4 linked regions of the Drosophila melanogaster genome follow. The protein of the gene in region 1 purifies or fractionates together with the protein of each later gene. This does not show direct contact. Each region holds a gene or a part of one and is shown in the gene's direction. Other genes may lie near its edges.

The links.
Region 2: the proteins of Rab21 (region 1) and mtm purify together in Drosophila melanogaster (affinity purification with western blotting, with the first as the bait; one study listed by BioGRID). This does not show direct contact.
Region 3: the proteins of Rab21 (region 1) and Vamp7 purify together in Drosophila melanogaster (affinity purification with western blotting, with the first as the bait; one study listed by BioGRID). This does not show direct contact.
Region 4: the proteins of Rab21 (region 1) and Pi3K68D purify together in Drosophila melanogaster (affinity purification with western blotting; one study listed by BioGRID). This does not show direct contact.

The regions. Positions count from the first base shown.
Region 1 is NC_004354.4:23,011,619-23,015,495, reverse strand, and holds Rab21 (Rab21), read left to right. Parts: upstream 1-2,086; 5' UTR 2,087-2,201; intron 2,202-2,231; exon of another isoform or gene 2,232-2,360; 5' UTR 2,361-2,389; coding exon 2,390-2,453; exon of another isoform or gene 2,454-2,514; coding exon 2,515-3,119; 3' UTR 3,120-3,356; downstream 3,357-3,877. Other genes in the region: Coa7 (cytochrome c oxidase assembly factor 7), read right to left, coding at 633-1,043, 1,388-1,677, 1,815-1,914.
Region 2 is NT_033779.5:6,034,131-6,039,065, reverse strand, and holds mtm (myotubularin), read left to right. Parts: upstream 1-2,050; 5' UTR 2,051-2,254; coding exon 2,255-3,788; intron 3,789-3,843; coding exon 3,844-4,169; 3' UTR 4,170-4,335; downstream 4,336-4,935. Other genes in the region: CG31643 (uncharacterized protein), read right to left, coding at 1-863; CG9117 (uncharacterized protein), read left to right, coding at 1,251-1,937; CG9109 (uncharacterized protein), read left to right, coding at 4,743-4,935.
Region 3 is NT_033778.4:9,840,310-9,844,172, reverse strand, and holds Vamp7 (Vesicle-associated membrane protein 7), read left to right. Parts: upstream 1-1,670; 5' UTR 1,671-1,872; intron 1,873-1,947; exon of another isoform or gene 1,948-2,005; 5' UTR 2,006-2,122; coding exon 2,123-2,326; intron 2,327-2,404; coding exon 2,405-2,633; intron 2,634-2,697; coding exon 2,698-2,765; intron 2,766-2,823; coding exon 2,824-2,979; 3' UTR 2,980-3,093; downstream 3,094-3,863. Other genes in the region: sting, read right to left, coding at 1-213, 270-369; Marc (mitochondrial amidoxime reducing component), read right to left, coding at 3,124-3,229, 3,303-3,589, 3,658-3,863.
Region 4 is NT_037436.4:11,786,873-11,792,097, reverse strand, and holds the start of Pi3K68D (phosphatidylinositol 3-kinase 68D), read left to right. Parts: upstream 1-2,084; 5' UTR 2,085-2,176; exon of another isoform or gene 2,177-2,477; 5' UTR 2,478-2,557; intron 2,558-3,852; 5' UTR 3,853-3,885; coding exon 3,886-4,919; intron 4,920-4,987; coding exon 4,988-5,040; intron 5,041-5,225. Other genes in the region: twy (twitchy), read left to right, coding at 1-299, 365-1,820.

The DNA.
Region 1 (3,877 bases):
CTGAAAGACTTGTATGTGTAGAAACGCAATAGTTTTTTAGACTTGTGGACGAAGCAGAATCACATTATTTTTCCTTTTACATTCTTTAGAACGAATGTAGTGCACATCTTCATGAGAAGGTATTCGAGGAAAGGACATGCAGATATTACAAGACGATTAATTACGTTATAATGTGCTAGATTTAAAAAAAAAATGAGGCTGTCGGATTAGCAGGCGATTCTGATCAGAAAAATGTACTGGTTCTTACATTAATATTAGAACAACAGTTTGTGCACAAGCAACCGTAACTAAAACACAATTAACTGAAGATTTTTGTCTACTTTTTTGGTAAGACTTGTTTGTATATTCATATAAGGTATCAACAAAATTTTTAAAGGGTTCATCATCACTTAATAACTTTAACAATTAAATCTAGGAATTTCCATTGTTACTTATTTTCTCTTTCTCGCTCTTTCGCATGCAAGTGCCAGCTATGTACACAGAAATCTCAAACACAAGTTAGTTAGCTTAACTACCAAAATTAGACTGACTGAAAATTACTGAAAAGGGCTAGAAGGTAAAGAAAAACCTGACCTGACCTGAAGCAAGGTCTAAAAACAGTAGCAGCAGATAATATCAGGAATCAAGCATTATCAATTAGGCATGCCCACGCCCTGCTGGAACCCTAACGTATCATGCTGCTTCTTCACCTCGTCCTGCATTTCTAGGGCCAGCTTCTTGTACTTCTCCGCTTCCTTTTCGTTCTTCTCGATCCCATCGCCCCGGGCGTACATCTGGCTAAGATTGGCACACGCATACATATTGCGAAGCTCGCAAGCCTTGTGGGCAAACTGGAAAGCCTTCTTCATGTCTTTTAGAACAATATAGTCGGAGTCCTTTAAAGGCGGTTGTCCGGCGGGGGGTGATGATGTACCACTTCCGGAGGATGCAGTGACAGCACTCTGATCCGCCTTCTTTTGCACGCCCGAGATGTGCATCCCGGAGAGATAAAAGCAGGCAGTGGCGTTGTTCAAGTCGCAGCTTTTGGTCAGAAACTCCAGGCCCTGCGGGTGTTGTAAAATTATAATGTCAAATCACAAAATCAAATAAAATTTAAACACTTTTCTGCTGGGGTCATATTGAACAGTTTTAAATTGGATCAAACTAAACTATATTCATACATATGTCTATACATCCATTGGAACATAATCAGAAAATTACAATTAAACGTTCAATTATCTGGACACGATACGAATGACTTATGATTTCAAGGATCAAATGAGAAACAGGTGGGGCAAATGAGAGAATGTACTGCAGCACATAGTTGCACTTTAAGCAAATTGAACAGTTCCAAGAGCTAGCCTTTTATTGAAGGCTTGGGACCGTGATCGCCATACGACACCTTTACCTTGGGCACATTCCAGTCGATCTCCCTAGGCATGGACTTTGAAACGAGCAGCAGGCCGGAGTGAAGACAGGCGTCCGAGTCGTTTAAGTTACAGCCCTTCTCGTAGTACTCGTAGGCCACTTGTGGATTCCCCTTGCTACCGCTCTTGCCTTTTCCAAGGAAACTGTAGTTGCCGTATTTGTAGCAGGACTTTGCGTAACCATAGTCGTCGCAAGTCGACTTGTACACCTTGGAGGCCTTTTCAAAGTCTTTCTTGATGCCCTCCAAGTAGTCGCCCAGCAAGTGGCACGCTGCAATGCAGAACGCCAGTTAGCTATCTCATAAATGCAATGTCTTCAAGCCCCGCGAATTGTCCTCCCGCACATCGGAGGTTATAGACCTCAATTGTTTTTGCCGCCGTCGCTATCGCTGCCGCCGCCGCACTCACCTTCCGGCTTCTTCTCGGAATAGCACCCGAATCGATATTCCACGCCCAGCTTTTCTACGTACTCCTTCACGTCTGACTCCTTCTTCAAGTCATAGGCCATGGTCAGCAATTTTTAATAGATAACAACCAAAAATTATTATGTTATGCTTCGTCCGGACCCCTGCGTGCTTCAGTGTTAGTAACGTGCAAAATATCGATTCATCGACACCATACTGCATACATTCGATGGTTTTATTGATATCGATGTTAGGCTATGCATCGATATTTTGCTCATAATTAAAACATGGTTTAATTTAAAATCGCTTAATTGTATTTTCTATCTTTCATGTATGACTGCGGCGACATTGAGTTCTCGGCCTTGCTTGAGGCCGCAGTGTGGCCAGATACGTATGTGACTTCTCGCTTATTCAACATTTATCGCCGAGTGCCATTACAATAGTGCTGGTAGACAGCCACACTGGCGGTCTCGTAAAAACCTAATCTTTTCGATTACCTCTTGTTTTTTTTTTGTTTTTCCGTGTCCTCTGAAAACTGATGCGTATCAAGGTAGGACACCTAGCTATTGGGAAACCACAATGAGCTCGAGCAGAACGAGGAACGGCCCCACGCTTAATTTCAAGGCGGTGCTGCTGGGCGAAGGTACGTTTAGCAGCTAAACAAACCTAATTAGTTCCTGAAAGCTTTAACCCCTTAATTGTAGGTTGTGTGGGCAAGACGTCGCTGGTGCTGCGCTACATGGAAGACCGGTTCAATGCCCAGCACCTAAGCACCCTGCAGGCTTCCTTTGTCAGCCGCAAGATGTCCCTGGAGGATGGGAGAAGGGCGCAGTTGAATATTTGGGACACGGCTGGTCAGGAGCGGTTCCACGCCCTGGGACCCATCTACTATCGCGGCTCCGATGGCGCCCTGCTCGTCTATGACATAACGGACCGAGACTCGTTCCAGAAGGTCAAATCCTGGGTGCGGGAGCTCCGGCAAATGCGCGGCACGGAGATTGCCTTAATAATCGTCGGCAACAAGACTGATTTGGAGGAACAGCGAGCAGTAACGCACGATGAGGCCCTTCAATATGCGCGCACGGTTGGCGCTCAATATGTAGAAACTTCGGCCAAGGAGAACGAGGGGGTGGCTGAGCTCTTCGAGCTCCTGACCCAGCTGATGCTGGAGCAGTTGAGCCAACGGCAACCGGATGCGAGTCCACTTCGCCTCCAGAATCCGGATACGGATAACCTTAACAACTCCGATGACTCGGAGGCCCCGGATCCCGGAGATCCTGCGGGCCAGCGGTCCTGTTGCGGCATTTAGCCGTTCCCATTGTGATAGTAATCATAACTATAAAATAGTAGACCTTTAACCGATGTTGATCTTGTGTATATATTATACATAGATAGATATAAATATAAATACGCGTATTTTTATTATTCCCTATTATGGATCTTTAAAATCCTCACACATTTTTGTTTATTAATAAATATAAATATGTATTTCATTCGATTTTCTTGCCCTTCCTGAGCGCCCAGTAATAAACAATCTTGTACTTGCACTTATCTTGTTTTGAGGCTTTTTGGGGGCCGGGCTGAATCATCGTTATCAGTTGAGGTGCTAATGGCTCTGCAAGGCGATAGGTGATTAATTTTAAACCGCACCAAGATTACAGTTTACGGCACTTTAAATATATGGTGCAATAGAAGACAATACATAAAGTTTTTATATATTTTTTCATAATTTTATGTAACGATCATATCATCGCAACAGCTTCTCCTATTAATGAAATTAATTGAAATCCAATTTCAAAACTGTTTTCGGCTACAATTAGTTACATATATAAGTATTCTAGTTTTATTTTGTTATAACAAAAAGTGAACGAACATATATGTATGTATTTACCCATTTAAGAATATATCCAATCTATAATATTCGGGCTATGTATGTACATATATGATAGTCTTCCATTTTATAACCGTTACTCGTGGTGTATATACTAGATATACTATATACTAGATTCGTTGAAAAGTATGTAACAGAACAGAACAACAGGCTGAAAGAAGCGTTTTCGACTATAT
Region 2 (4,935 bases), on another chromosome or scaffold:
GACCACACTGGAATATTCAGCATGTGGATCACCTTCAGAAGAGCCTTAGGGGTTTCGCTGCTGAGGACGCCGCTTTGCATCATTTCAGTCAAGCGCAACTTGAAGCGCGTAAACAGCTCCTCATCAATGAGAAAGTGTAGCTGAAAGAGGCACGTGGACAGAAGGCGAACCTGCTCTGCGCTGCGACACCAATTGATGTGATGTTCCAGGTGCGGAATAAAGTTCCTACACACAAGCGGAGTGAAGAAGTCGCGTTCCAAGTTGATGCCCACCGAGAGGCGAGACAAGGAGGTCAAGGGAATGACTTCGTCATCAACTTGTGACTCGATTAATTGAAGAGATCTCGTCAGCACGGCCTCCACGACTGCCTCGGAGTTTGGTATATGCATTTTGCGCAGGTACAGGTAGCATCTACTGAGATCATCGATCTCCAGTTGGTGTACATAAGGGGCCAACTTTGGGAGCACGTTAAGCAGCACGCGATCCGTGATGGCATCTTTACTTGCCTGCTCCGCGTCGTGATAGATGTTCCACAGCAGTGAGATTCCCATCACCACATGGGAGCTCTGCAGGCCGTCACAGCTCTCCAACACATCTAAAATCTGGTTACCCGTCTTGGCCTCCTCCAGTCGGGTTAGAAGAGCATCCTGTTCCCGTGGCACGCCAAACTTGTCTTGGAGATCTCCGTTCACCAGCTGCGAGTGCTTCCTCAGTTTTTGGCCCAATGCCGGCAGCAAGGCAGCTGTTTGGATGGGCGGCTTTGCGCCAATGTTAACGTGCCGTCGCAGGAGCTGAAGCTGACGCACTCGCAGAAGGTATTGTAGGTACTTCCATTGTGTCCGCGGCAGGTGGTTCAGATACATGCCACTTTATCTCACGCTTATTCAGAAATCGTTGAATAATAACAAAATTACGCCGTATAAACATGTGAGTGAATTTTTGGCGATCAGCTGGTGTCGGTGTTGCCATGAAATCCTAATTTCCATTATACTGAAACCAATAATGGAATCAATGTGTAAAAAAAAACTTAAAATAATTTCTGAACTGTGATTAGCGGTATACAAGTTAGATAAGTAATTACTTAATTCGTAAGTAATTTGTTTATTTCGTCAAAAGTTTCATAGTGGCAACTCTAGTTTTCAACAGGTTGTTGACGAGTTGACATTTCTGTTTGTAAGCAACAGCTGATAAGCAGCTGACCCTAAATAATTTAATAGGCTAGAGCGTTATCGTTGTTAAACAACTAAACAATGGCATACACTGATCCTGCGCAACGAAACCAGGTGACCGTGCTCCAGGTCGGCTATTCTCGCCAAGAAGAAGGAGACGAGTCCGCCATGCGGGCTAACTGCACATGCACACTGGTCCGCTGCCGGGATGGCACCAACATAATCGTGGACACACTGACGGCCTGGGATGGAGATCACCTGCGTTCGTTGTTGGGCCAGCAGGGACTAGGCGTCGATGACATCCACGTGGTGGTCTGCTCTCACGGACACTCTGACCACATCGGTTGCAACTATCTGTTTCAGAAGGCACGAATGCATTTGGTCGGCGCATGTGCCTCACATCACGACCTCTACATGGACCACCTTGGTAGTGGTAATCCAGACGAGCAACTGGCCCTAGATTCGAATGCCGAGGTGGTAGTGAGGCGGTCGCCAGGACACACCCTCAGCTGCGTTTCAGTTCTTGTGGAAAATTCCCAGCTGGGTGGACGGGTCGGTATCACCGGAGATCTCTTCGAGCGTCGCGAGGACATCGACGATGAGAACATTTGGATGGACGCTGGAAGCGAAAACGAGAAGGTGCAGCGCGAGGAGCGCAGTAAAATGGCACAACTGTGCGAGTTTATAATCCCAGGACATGGTCCGATGTTTTCTGTCACACAATCAATGCGCTGTAAACTTAAAGAAGACGCCACTTCTAACACTTAATTTATTAAGCATTAAATACATATGTTAGAGATTTTTTTAAAAGCGGAATTGTTCTAGCTTTCCTTGATTACCAGTTAAATGTCTGAAATAAGTTGATTAATTCCAATACATAAAAATCAAATTTTCCGCCACTACATAATGTCCCTTTGGTACTTTTGTCGGAGGAATGGGAAATTATTCCAGATGATTTTATATTGCGTGAGTTGGCAGCACTGCTGCATGAGTTTTGGTGAATTGCATTTAGCTAACAATTGGAAAAGAAAACACAGCTGCAACCAGCAACACAATAGCCAAACACCACTCGTGTCCATCCGAAAATGGATCCCTCCGCGAGCCTGGCCGACAAGTTGGCCTCCAAGACTGCCAGCAGCAACTCTCTGGACAGCAGCTCCAAGTCCAGTTCGCTGGGCTCCAAGCACGGTGGCGGAGAAAACGGCATTCTGCGGGACACGCCCTTCGGCTATCTGGAGGGCGAAGAGGACCAGGACCAGAAGAACGACGTGACCTACGTGTGTCCGTACCGCGGCCCCGTCTTCGGCGCTCTTACCATAACCAACTACCGTCTGTACTTCCGGTCGCTTCCCCTGCGGGATCAGGAGCCGCCCGTCGTCGTCGACGTGCCTCTGGGCGTGATCGCGCGTGTGGAGAAGATTGGAGGTGCCACGTCTCGCGGTGAGAACTCGTACGGCATCGAGATTTTCTGCAAGGACATGCGAAACCTGCGATTCGCCCACAAGCAGCAGAATCATTCGCGGAGGACGGTGTTTGAGAAACTGCAGGCCAACGCCTTTCCGCTCTCGTACAGTGGGCGCCTCTTTGCATTCGCCCACGCCGCGGCCAACTCTGTGAACGGTAACGGAGGCTGGGACGGCTGGGCGGTATATGAACCGCTGGCGGAGCTGCGCCGCTTGGGCGTTCCCAACGATATGTGGCGGGCGACCAAGCTAAACGAGTCCTACGCAATTTGCGACAGCTATCCGGCCGTGTGGGCTGTGCCCAAAGCGGCCTCCGATGATTTCCTGAGGCGCGTGGCACAGTTCCGATCGCGCTGCCGCCTGCCGGTTTTGTCCTGGATGAACCCACGGACTCAAGCGACCATTACAAGGTGTTCCCAGCCGCTGGTGGGTGTAAGTGGCAAGCGAAATTCCGACGATGAAGCATACCTAAGCTTTATCATGGAGGCGAACGCCCAGTCAGACAAGTTGACCATCATGGATGCGCGACCAAGCGCCAATGCGATTGCTAACAAGGCCAAGGGCGGCGGCTACGAGTCAGAGGACGCGTACAAGAACGTGGAAATCAACTTCCTCGACATACACAACATCCACGTGATGCGGGAGAGCCTACGCAAAGTGAAGGAGGCTTGCTTCCCCACCACCGACGACTCAAAGTGGCAGACGGCTATTGACAACACACTGTGGCTAAAGCACATTAGGTGCATCCTGGCCGGCGCCGTTAGGATTGTTGACAAGGTGGAGACCATGAGCACCTCCGTCGTAGTTCACTGCTCCGACGGCTGGGATCGCACAGCCCAGCTGACTGCTCTTTCCATGTTGCTGCTCGATCCGCACTATCGCACAGTGCGCGGTTTCGAGGTTCTCATTGAGAAGGAGTGGCTCTCCTTTGGCCACAAGTTCCAACAACGCATTGGTCACGGCGACAACAAGCACTCGGATGCAGACAGATCTCCGGTGTTCCTGCAATTTATCGATAGCGTCTGGCAGGTTAGCCAGCAGTTCAACAACGCATTTGAGTTCAACGAGCACTTCCTGATAACCATCGTGGATCATCTGTACTCGTGCCGCTTCGGCACCTTCCTCTGCAACACGGAGGCCGAGCGTGTGGCCGAAGGTTAGACTGATTGCTGTTTGCATGGGCTTGGAAGTAATTTTCACATTTATTGTAGATCTCAAGCACAAGACAACATCCCTGTGGACGCACATCAACTCGTCGCTGGACCAGTATTTGAATCCACTCTTTCCCTCGTTCACGCACGGCGCCGAGCTAGTGCTGCGTCCGATTGCCAGCGTGAGATCGGTCCGCTTGTGGAAGGGCCTATACTGTCGCTGGAATCCTGGTCTGTGCGCTCCTCAGCATGGCTGCCAGCGAACCCGCGAACTGCTATCCAAGCAGGACCAGCTCTTTAAGCTCGTCAACGAGCTGCGGCTCAAGTCGAACAACCGCAGCAACAGCATGCAGACAACTACGCGACTGGCCTCGCCTATGCACTAATAGTATTGCTTTTTTATTCCCCCTACTTGTACGCATATGTAGTGCACGTATTGTGAACTACGTTCTAATTCCAAATAAAAGTTTTTCTTAAATGGAAAACTAGTCGATTCAACATTGTATCATTGAACCACATTATCGAATCTAATTAAAGTGTTAAATGTCTGAGAATGTTTTAATTATTTCATGAATAACATCATATAGTTCAAATCGTATAGCGTTTTCGCAGCTCAGTGGAGCTACTTTTATATGTGCCTTAAACTAGTTTGGATGTCAAAAAGATACCTAAACAGGTGACCAACTGTTGCACGCTCCTTGTGATTCATTCATAAACACCGCTTCATAGAGGCGCCTGCGCGTTGGACTACGCACGTTAAATCCCGAATCCCACTTTTGACACCACAGGACACAAAACATTTCGGCTTTGCGCCAAAATTAAATCACAGCTGCCTCAGTACGACATCGCACGTTCATTGGGACAGACGTGTTCCGATTTCCGGTAGGAAAAGGGCAGGTGTTTGTAAAATATCAGGAAATGCGTTCGGAACTCTTAGAGTTCCGCAATAGATATTAGTTATGCCTACTAGGATATGTGTGCTGTTTGGGCTTCTGTGCCTCGCAAGCTTATGCTGCGGTAGTAACAAGCCAGGAGAGGTGCTCCTGGTTATCGCCTGTCCCCCGCATCCTCAGCAGGCCAGAAGTGATTGTTTAGCCTTATCGCACAACGTGCTGGAGCAGCAACGGGCACTGGAACTGGCGGGGATCTTCC
Region 3 (3,863 bases), on another chromosome or scaffold:
CGGTAACCGAAATTCGAAAAAAAGCTACGAGAAGGAATCCCACAATCAGGTATATCGATCTGTTGTTATACGTGCACGAGCGCCGCAGGATTATCCACAGCCGATCCTCGGGCAAATAGTACCGCCCATTGCTCCCATATTCGACGACACAGCGGTACAAGCGAAGGAGCAGATCAGCCAAGAACACGGTGGCTACAATGCGAATAGAGGTGTCTGCAACGAATCACGACCGTAAAGATAATTTATGGCGTCCATCGGTCATCACTCACCAATATAATCTCCTATCATCTTTCGAAAATAAAAATATTTTCTGCCTTTTTCCGCGCGAACCGCGTTCCCCGCTTCGACAACGTTGCTAGCGATTGCCATTTCGTCTGCATACATATGTACGTCTCAAGGGTTGCCAGATCGATTTGGAGATCTCGCGAAAACTTCGCTGGAATTTCAAATGCCGTTAAATTATATATAAATTTGTTTATTGGGCTTGCATAGGTATACATAACTGAATTTGGGCTCCTAAATATTAATTACATTGCGTGCACATACAAATGCACATATTTATGTATGACGGAAGCAATGAAGGAACTACATTGTTATATCTTTTTATTATTATTTACTTTTGTGTTTGTTTATCAGGTATCAGATAAGATTTTATCAATATAGCCTCAAAGATTCGTTAATCAATTTGTATTCGAAATAAAACTTTAGGTAACAATGTCCGGTTCCGACTATCAGATACATATACAGACATGAAATCTGCTGACTGTAAAGCTCTCCGCCCTCTGGAACAAATATTCGTGAGAGCCGGAGCCAGCTCTAGACTCCTCCCAAAAACGCATATTGTTATTCTAGTGTCTTTGGTAAGAGGGTATACTAGATTCGTTGAAAAGTAAGTAACAGGTAGAAGGAAGCGTTCCCGGCCATGTAAAGTATATATATTCTTAATCAAGATCAAAATAATAAAAAATAACAAAGATAATTAAACATTAACAATGGTTAACCAATTGGTGGTTAATTAACCATCAACAATGGTTAACCATTACGCTCTTACTCTGCAACTTAAATACTGATAGCTACACCCTAAACGAATTATAAGATTTGATAAATGATCTTATTTAAGCATGCTTATTGTGTTCTAATATTAAATTCTATAGAAACCTTATCCTGTAAAAGGCTCAAAAAAGTGCAATCGTGCCATATTTGTGGCCAGAATAAATGAGAATTCTAAGTCTTTTAAAATAAGTAATTTTAAATCGAATATTTCGGCAGCATATGCGCATATTGAAACTACGTATATTGTATCTTGCGTGTGTACATAGTTTAAGTTATTACCTGCGGTTTTTTCTGTCAAAACGAATGGATCCAGGCTCAAAGATCTCAGGAGCAAAAGCTTGGGAACGCTATTAATTTAAATTTACTTTAATGGAAAATTCTTTGTCCGGGGAGAAGAATCTCAACTGGATGAACTGATGCTCTCGTCAATACTGAAACGCTATCGGTGGGATGCCCCTATTTAAGTTGCGGAGATCATTTAATTTAATAAGCAAATGCAAATAATCATAAGACCGTATAACATAATTTGTAAAACACGTTATGCAGTGTGACCGTGCGATAAAGCCAGACTTATCGGCTCCATTAAATATCGATGCGTCGATGTACCGTCCTTCCACCTCTAATTTTATAACTGCATCGAAGCGTCAGCAATTGTTGTTATTTGTAATGCAAAAATCGAGCTAATTCCACGGTATTGTGATGTTTTTATTGTGTTCGGCAAAAGCAATTGAAAATCGATAATAACTTAAGCCGCTTACCACAAAATGTAAATCTGCAGTTGCGCTATCAACTCGAGGCGGATCTAATTGGATAAACAAAGCAAGTACTTTGATATAACAATTTGCATATTACACATATATACGTATGTTACTCATAAACAGAGTTATTGTTCAGATTGATAGGCTCGCAATTGGATAGTAGTAGTTTCTAAATCGATATGTACATTTCTCAGAATCCGAGAGCACGTCATCATTGACGGATCGTCGGCTCATTCCCCGATAAGCAAAACAAAGCAGTAGCCTGAGGAGCTGAACAACCGCGCCCTTAGCAAAGGAGAATCTGTGGCACCATGCCGATACTATATAGTGTGATATCGCGGGGCACCACAGTGCTGGCGAAGTTTGCGGAGTGCGTCGGCAACTTTGCCGAAGTGACGGAGCACATAATCGGACGGATCGGGGTGCATAACCACAAGATGACCTACACACACGGAGACTACCTGATCCACTACACCTGCGAGAACAAACTGGTCTACATGTGCATCACCGACAACGTGGGTGAACGAACCACTGGCCCAATTAGCCACCTCAGTTGCTTATTGCCCAATCGATAACGTATCGTTTCTTTGTAGGAGTTCGAACGGTCGCGGGCCTTCCTCTTCTTGGCGGATATCAAGCAGAAGTTTATCCAGACTTACGGCCTACAGGTGGCCACCGCCATCGCCTACTCCATGAACACCGAGTTCTCCAAGATCCTGGCCCAGCAGATGGTCTATTTCAGTCAGTCCCGGGAGGTGGACACCATTTCGCGAGTACATGGTCAGATTGACGAGCTTAAAGACATTATGGTTAAGAATATTGGTATGAAGGAAGGAAAATCCGTATGTTCTTTTTGTTTACTATTCCCTTTTCATCCCATTTGCAGACAGCTTGCGGGATCGCGGCGAGAAACTAGAGCTGCTCGTCAACAAGACCGAAAACTTGAGCAATAATGTAAGGTGATGCCAAGCAGAGACTTTTAAATGTGTTTTTCATTTGATCTCTCTTACAGTCCGTTGCATTCCGTAAGGCCTCCCGAAATTTGGCTCGTCAAATGTTTTGGAAGAACATCCGCGTCTACGTGGTGGTGGGTCTGGTGATAACCTTCATCGTTTACGTGATTGTGAGCATGGCCTGTGGTGGCCTCGCTTGGCAGTCCTGTGTTTAGGACAAGCTTTAAAGTTGTTTATATTGTTATAGGCTCATAACACATGTATATTTGCATATAAAACTCTACAGTACTCTCATCTATGTTCTATGTAATAAACTTCAATGTATACCGGATAAAGTGTTAGAAGAGATAATGGAATATTCACTTGTCCTCCACATACACGACGTCGTTGGCCTTCACCTTTCCCGGCAGCCGAAGTCCCATATGAACGCCCAGAGCCGGCGAACTGTAGTTGAACAAGCGATAGCTGTGGATTCCAGATATGAGGGTCGGGTTTTGTAAGTCGTACTTCTCAGATATTTCCATGGGTAGTGACTCACCTTCTGAGCGTTTTGAGAGGCTCTCCTTCGGAACTCCTCTCTGCGGTCTTCGCATTAATGTTGGTAAAAATACAGCGAGTGCATGGCGCCACCGTACGGAAAACAGCATCTTCGCCTATACGCACCCACTGCCAATTGTCCTCGGCATAGGGCTCATCAACATCCATTTTCAGTTCGAAGTTACCTCGGAACTGCAGTGCATCCACCGGATTCTTTAACCGAGTATTAAGATCGGCGACCGACGAAAGGTTCATCAGCATAAAGCTGGTGGCATCGTTAAAAGTGCCCTATGGAAAGAATTCAAATCAAGGGTGATCTGGGTCCTAACACTTCGAATTGCGCATCAGGAACATACCGAGTCCTCCTGTCTAATGAATGGCATGGACTTTAGGCGGGGATTGGTGCATCTCACTGGTTTCGGATAGGGATAGTGAACTAGCTTGAGGCCGCTCTCCTTCTTCAGGATGGCCTGGGAGAACCACGTGTTGATCCGATCTCCGCAGGGCATCACGTCTATGGAAACGCCCCAAACGGAAGTTTTCACATCCTTGCCAGGACCGT
Region 4 (5,225 bases), on another chromosome or scaffold:
CAAATGGAGGAGCATATAAAAGGCCAGCAGGAGCGGATCAACATGCACCTCCAGCTGATGATGTCGCAGCCAGTGCGTGTACAGGATGTGGTGTCCACACCGCCGCTCGTGGAGAAACCGGAACCGGAACCGGAAAGGAAGGAGCACCACAAGGCGACCAGTCAGGAACAGGAGCATTTGCTTCTGCTAGAAATGGATGCCAAACGCAATCTGCTGGAGAAACAGCGACTCGATGAGCTGGTGGCCAACATGAAGGTCAACTATGAGCAGGAGATCGAAATGATAGATTCTTCATATAAGTAAGTTTTAACCAGCTGCTGAAATAATAATGCAAATGAGTAAGAGAATTTAATTTTATGTCCAGAAAACAAATCAAGGTGCTGGAGGAGCACTTGTCCGTCGTAGAGAAACGACTCAAGGACGAGAATAGCGAGTTACGGCAGTACTACATCGAAAAACTGGAGAAGCAGAAGGAGGACTATGTGGAGCAGATTTCCAGCCTGCGACAAGATCATGAGGATGAGGTGCGCAAGCTGCGTCAATCCCACGAGCTGGACCTCGAGGGTATTCGTCAGGCTAAAATGGTGGAGTTGTCGGCGGTGCAGGATCATGGAAATTATCTGGACACATTGCGTCTGGCGTCCAGCAATCTTCAAGAACTTCGTGACGGGATGAGTGACAACCAGGAAAGGGAACGGCAGTTGGAGGCGCGAGAACGTCGCCTGGCCGACCAGGAAAGGCGTCTAAAGATGGACGAGGAGACGGCCGACGATGAGAAGCGCCGCCTGATGGAACTGGTGAGCACCTTGGAGCTGCAGCTGGGCCGTTTGTCCAAGGAGTCAGCCGAAGAGAACTGGCAGCTCCGTCAACGAATGTCCAGCTTGGAAGCGGAGCGCAAGGCTTTCGAGCGCGAAAAAGAATTCCATCGCGAGCAAATGCAGCGGGACGAGAAGCGTGTGGAGGATCTTAAAGCACTGCAGCTTGCGGAAATGGAACGACTGCACCACGATCTCCAGGAGGAGCGCAATCAACTGACAGTGGAACGCCAGCAGATTGAACTAAGACAACAGCTCAATGAGCACGGCGACCCAGACAGAGATCGCCGGGAACTGGAGGCCCAACTGCAGGTGGCACGCGAAGCCATTCGGCGGGCGGATGAGGAGCGGGATCGCTACCACAAGCTGCAGCGCGAAATGGAGCAGCGCAAGCGCCATCTTCTGGATAAGGAGCACGCCCTAAATCTCAAGGAGGACGAACTGGGCCAAGCCACCGGCGCCTACCGCCTAGCCACTAGTCGCCAACACTTGGCCGAGCAGAAGGCTAGGGAGGCGGACCAGCTGCTCCAGGCCAAGCTTAAGGTCATGGCCAAGCGGGCCCAGGAAATCGCGGAAAAGGAGGCACAGCTGGCCCACGAACGAATGCTGGTGGCGCAGGATCGTATGGCTTTGGTCAATCTGAAGAAGCAGATTTCTCGCAGCAGGTGTGCAATCTGCAAAATGGGTGCGGAATCGGCGGAAATCGCCCAGCGAAGGGCAAATGTAAATCCCACAGCAGCCACCGATCTTCAACTGCCTCAAGTGACACCCAGTCATGCGGAGCTGCTGCTTAAAATGTCCCAGGAACCGGGACAGGTCCAGAGTGACATTGTGGATCGAATGCTGGACGAAAACATCGAAGCCTCCTACCGCAGGATGTACAATGCGCCCCCCAGTAGTTCAATCGATGATCCCGACTATCTATTGACGTTAGCTGGTGGGCTGGACGACGACTCCAAGGTGGCCATGGATCACGGCCTGAATGTGGACGAAGCATTTATGTAGATATTGTGGAAAAATTTGTGGAAGCACAAATAATAACAACTGAGATAAATAAATGTATTACTTGGCAATTAGTATAAGTTTTATAAACAAACTATGAAGATACAAGATTACATATCGCTCGAAAGTTAAGTATTTTGTTATTCGTTAGAAACTCAATAAATTTGAATTGATGGAGTGAAACCCGGCTACATGATTAGCCAATACTCAAACATCTGTTCGATGTATCTTTCATCGATAGTTGCCAAACAATATCGATTCGTTTACCATCGCTACTGCTTGTTGCATTCCGTTTTGTGTTATTTCGTGCTGTTCGTGTTTAAAGTTCTTGCGCACAAGATAATTGTTTTTTTTTTATTGTAAATTAACTGATTTGTACATAATATGTGATGGTGCAAGAAAATCTAAGAAAATAACGTTTTGTTCAGTATTTTGGTGTTGCGTCTATTCCGTTTTTTGTCACTGTTTTCTGTTCGTGTTTGTGTATGGTCGTTTCGCATGTATGTGTGTAGGTGTTTAGGTGTGTAGGAGGATAAAACAACTCTCCTAAAAACAAAAAAAAAACCTTTGGTTAAGTTTAAATTAATTGTGATTCGTCAAATATAACAACAACCGAGGATAAAAGTGTAAAACTATTAACCGGATGGTCTATGTTCGTAGCCCCGTCAAGGGAAAACCTCAACCAAAAAGAGACTAGCAACGGGTGTAAAAAGCAGCGGAGGTGACACCTCAAAAAGCAAGTAAGTTGGCAATATGCGGATGAGAATCACAAAGCAGAAGTCAAGTCTGCATATTAATGACTATCTCCATTATTATTTTCTTTCGCCCTTCCACCGATATTCGTTTTTTTTAAATTTTATTCTTACGTTCTCCGGAATAAATTGGCATTCAATTGGGTTCATTTATTGTTTATGAATATTGTTTTTAAAAATTTTTTCGCAATCTATTGATTTACCTTAACCTTTGCCGCACGGAACCCTCTCTTTTGCTCTCTCTTCCTCGCTTCCTATTCCTAGCCGGTTCGCATTTTCTTATCTTCCATTCCGTCCCCGTTCGCGACACGGACTCACACACACACTAGTGCTTTTGTGGGTGTGTTTATATTAAACAGCTGTTTCCTATCTGCATACGAGATTGGCTTCAATGGGGAAAAAATCAAAACGCTTACATGCTGACATATATATATACGTTTATATTGCATATATTCGTATATATGTGTAAAATCTGGGAAATCAGTACTCGCAGCATTCATTCACGCAAATTGATGCCGCCGCTTTTGTTTGTTTTTATATATTTATTTACAATCGCGCACTCAATTGCGCCTTTTTGCGCCACTCTGCTGTATCGCAATCGCAAATTTGGAGCGCTTGGATATGGTTTCTATGTGCAAAGTACACAAGTATTTACCACATTTGTATGTACAAACAATAAGATAAAATGTTTTGCTGATGTTTGTACCGAATGTCGAAACTCTGCTAATCATACTTAATATCATGCTTGCATAATGATGTTCGAACTTTTCTATTAGAAGTTGATATTTTTTAAAATATAAAATTAATTCCTGTCCCTGCCCTGGCTATCACAAATCCTTGTAATTACGTTTTAAATGCAGTTGTCATATCCTTTTAACCATTTCGAAGCTTACAAATCTAATAAAGCGATCAATCTGTTCTCCCCTATTTTCTGAATTTCTGAATCATTGGTGCCCGCTAATGACGGCTCATTATCGATCGCGAATATTCCTTTGCAACTTAAAAAAAAAAAACTAGTGATAGGCACCCCCACTCTGTCGCAAGTGGTCTTCCCCCCATCGAATGCTATCTCACCTGTTCTTCGTCCAGGTACTCATATAGTACCATTGCCATTTACACTGCATAATCACTTTTATCACCGCCTGTTCGTTATCGCAGAGATAAGCAATCCCAAAAGCAAACACCTTTGTTCAACAACAAATAGGCATTGGAAGAGAAAATACGAAAATAATTTTAACAAAATTTGGAAATCGCTCACATTTTGTTCTGGTTCCCATTCGCAGCTCAACGGACCGGACGCTTTAGACGAGGGGATAATGTCAAATCAAGCGCATATCGACTACGACAAACAATTCCAGGATGACCTGGCCAAGGCGACCGCCCTGAGTCTAGAGCAGCATGCCCTCGATGACTACAGGCGAAACAAGAAGTACGGCTCCGGGTATCAGCAAAGCTCCACCGTTGCTGGCCGAGATTACCAGGCGGCGCAACGTAGTCAGAGCCTACATCAACCACGACGGCACTCGGAGGTGCATCAGGTGGCCATCAGTCCGGAGAATGCGGAACGATCGCGCACACCGCCGGCCCAGGGAACGGATAACGATCTGATCTGCTTCGCAAGTCCCACCAGCAAGCAGCCAGAGAGTAGCAGTCCCTTTGGCAAACTTATAGAGGATCTGCAGCGGATGCAGCCGACCAATCCGCAGTCGGCCCTGGTGCCAATGGGTCCAGTTGCGTCGGCTTCGATTCCTCCTCAATACGGCTTTCCACCTCATCAGCAACGTCCAACGGCTGCTCAGCCCACACCGTACGGCATGGTTGCAGGTGGAGTTGTTGGTGGACCGGCTTACGGTGACCTGCAGTTGGTGCCTTACCAACCAGCTGCTCAGCAACAGAGGCCACTAAACAGCGAGGAGCTGCAGCGGCTGTACAGCATGCCCGCTCAAATGGCCGTGGTTCCAGTGCCGCAGCCAAACGCCTATATGTACTATCCCGGAGCTGTGGTTACTCCATACACGGCTCCCATTGTTCCCGGATCGGCTGCTTTTATGCCGCCGCAGTATCCCGCACAGGGATATGGCTTTGGAGGTGCTTACACGCACATGGATTTGCGTCGACCCCAATCGCAACCAGCTCCCCAACAAACAGCACCGACAACAAGTCATCATCACAGCCAACCGTCCAACCATTCCACTTCCTCCCCCGCAGAGGCCAATGGAGTAGCCTTCCCAGCGCGTCGCCAAGTGCCCTCGACTGTCGGGGTTAGCTCTAGTAGCCACACTGGAAACAATGGTCATTCCTCGGTCCCACGCAGGGGCAACGATTTGATCGACCTCAACCACGAGGACTAGTATGTATCCACTAGTGTTCAGAAATGATTAGTTCGTGTTTTTAACATTCAAACATCCTGCTTTGCAGCTCCCGTGTGAGTGTGCTGGAGGCATTCGATCCCCTGCTAAACGACAATACTGGTAAGCAGCCTCAATGTTGTAATTAACGTGTAGCTCCCGGTCCTCGTTGAAATCCCCCCACATTTTTCGCACCGTAAACTAAACTTGAAATACAGTCGAAAACTCGTGTGTTGCGATTTTTGGCCAGAGCATTCATTTGAGCTGCAAATAAAAATTATTGGCATAATAACATTAGTGGATTTTTC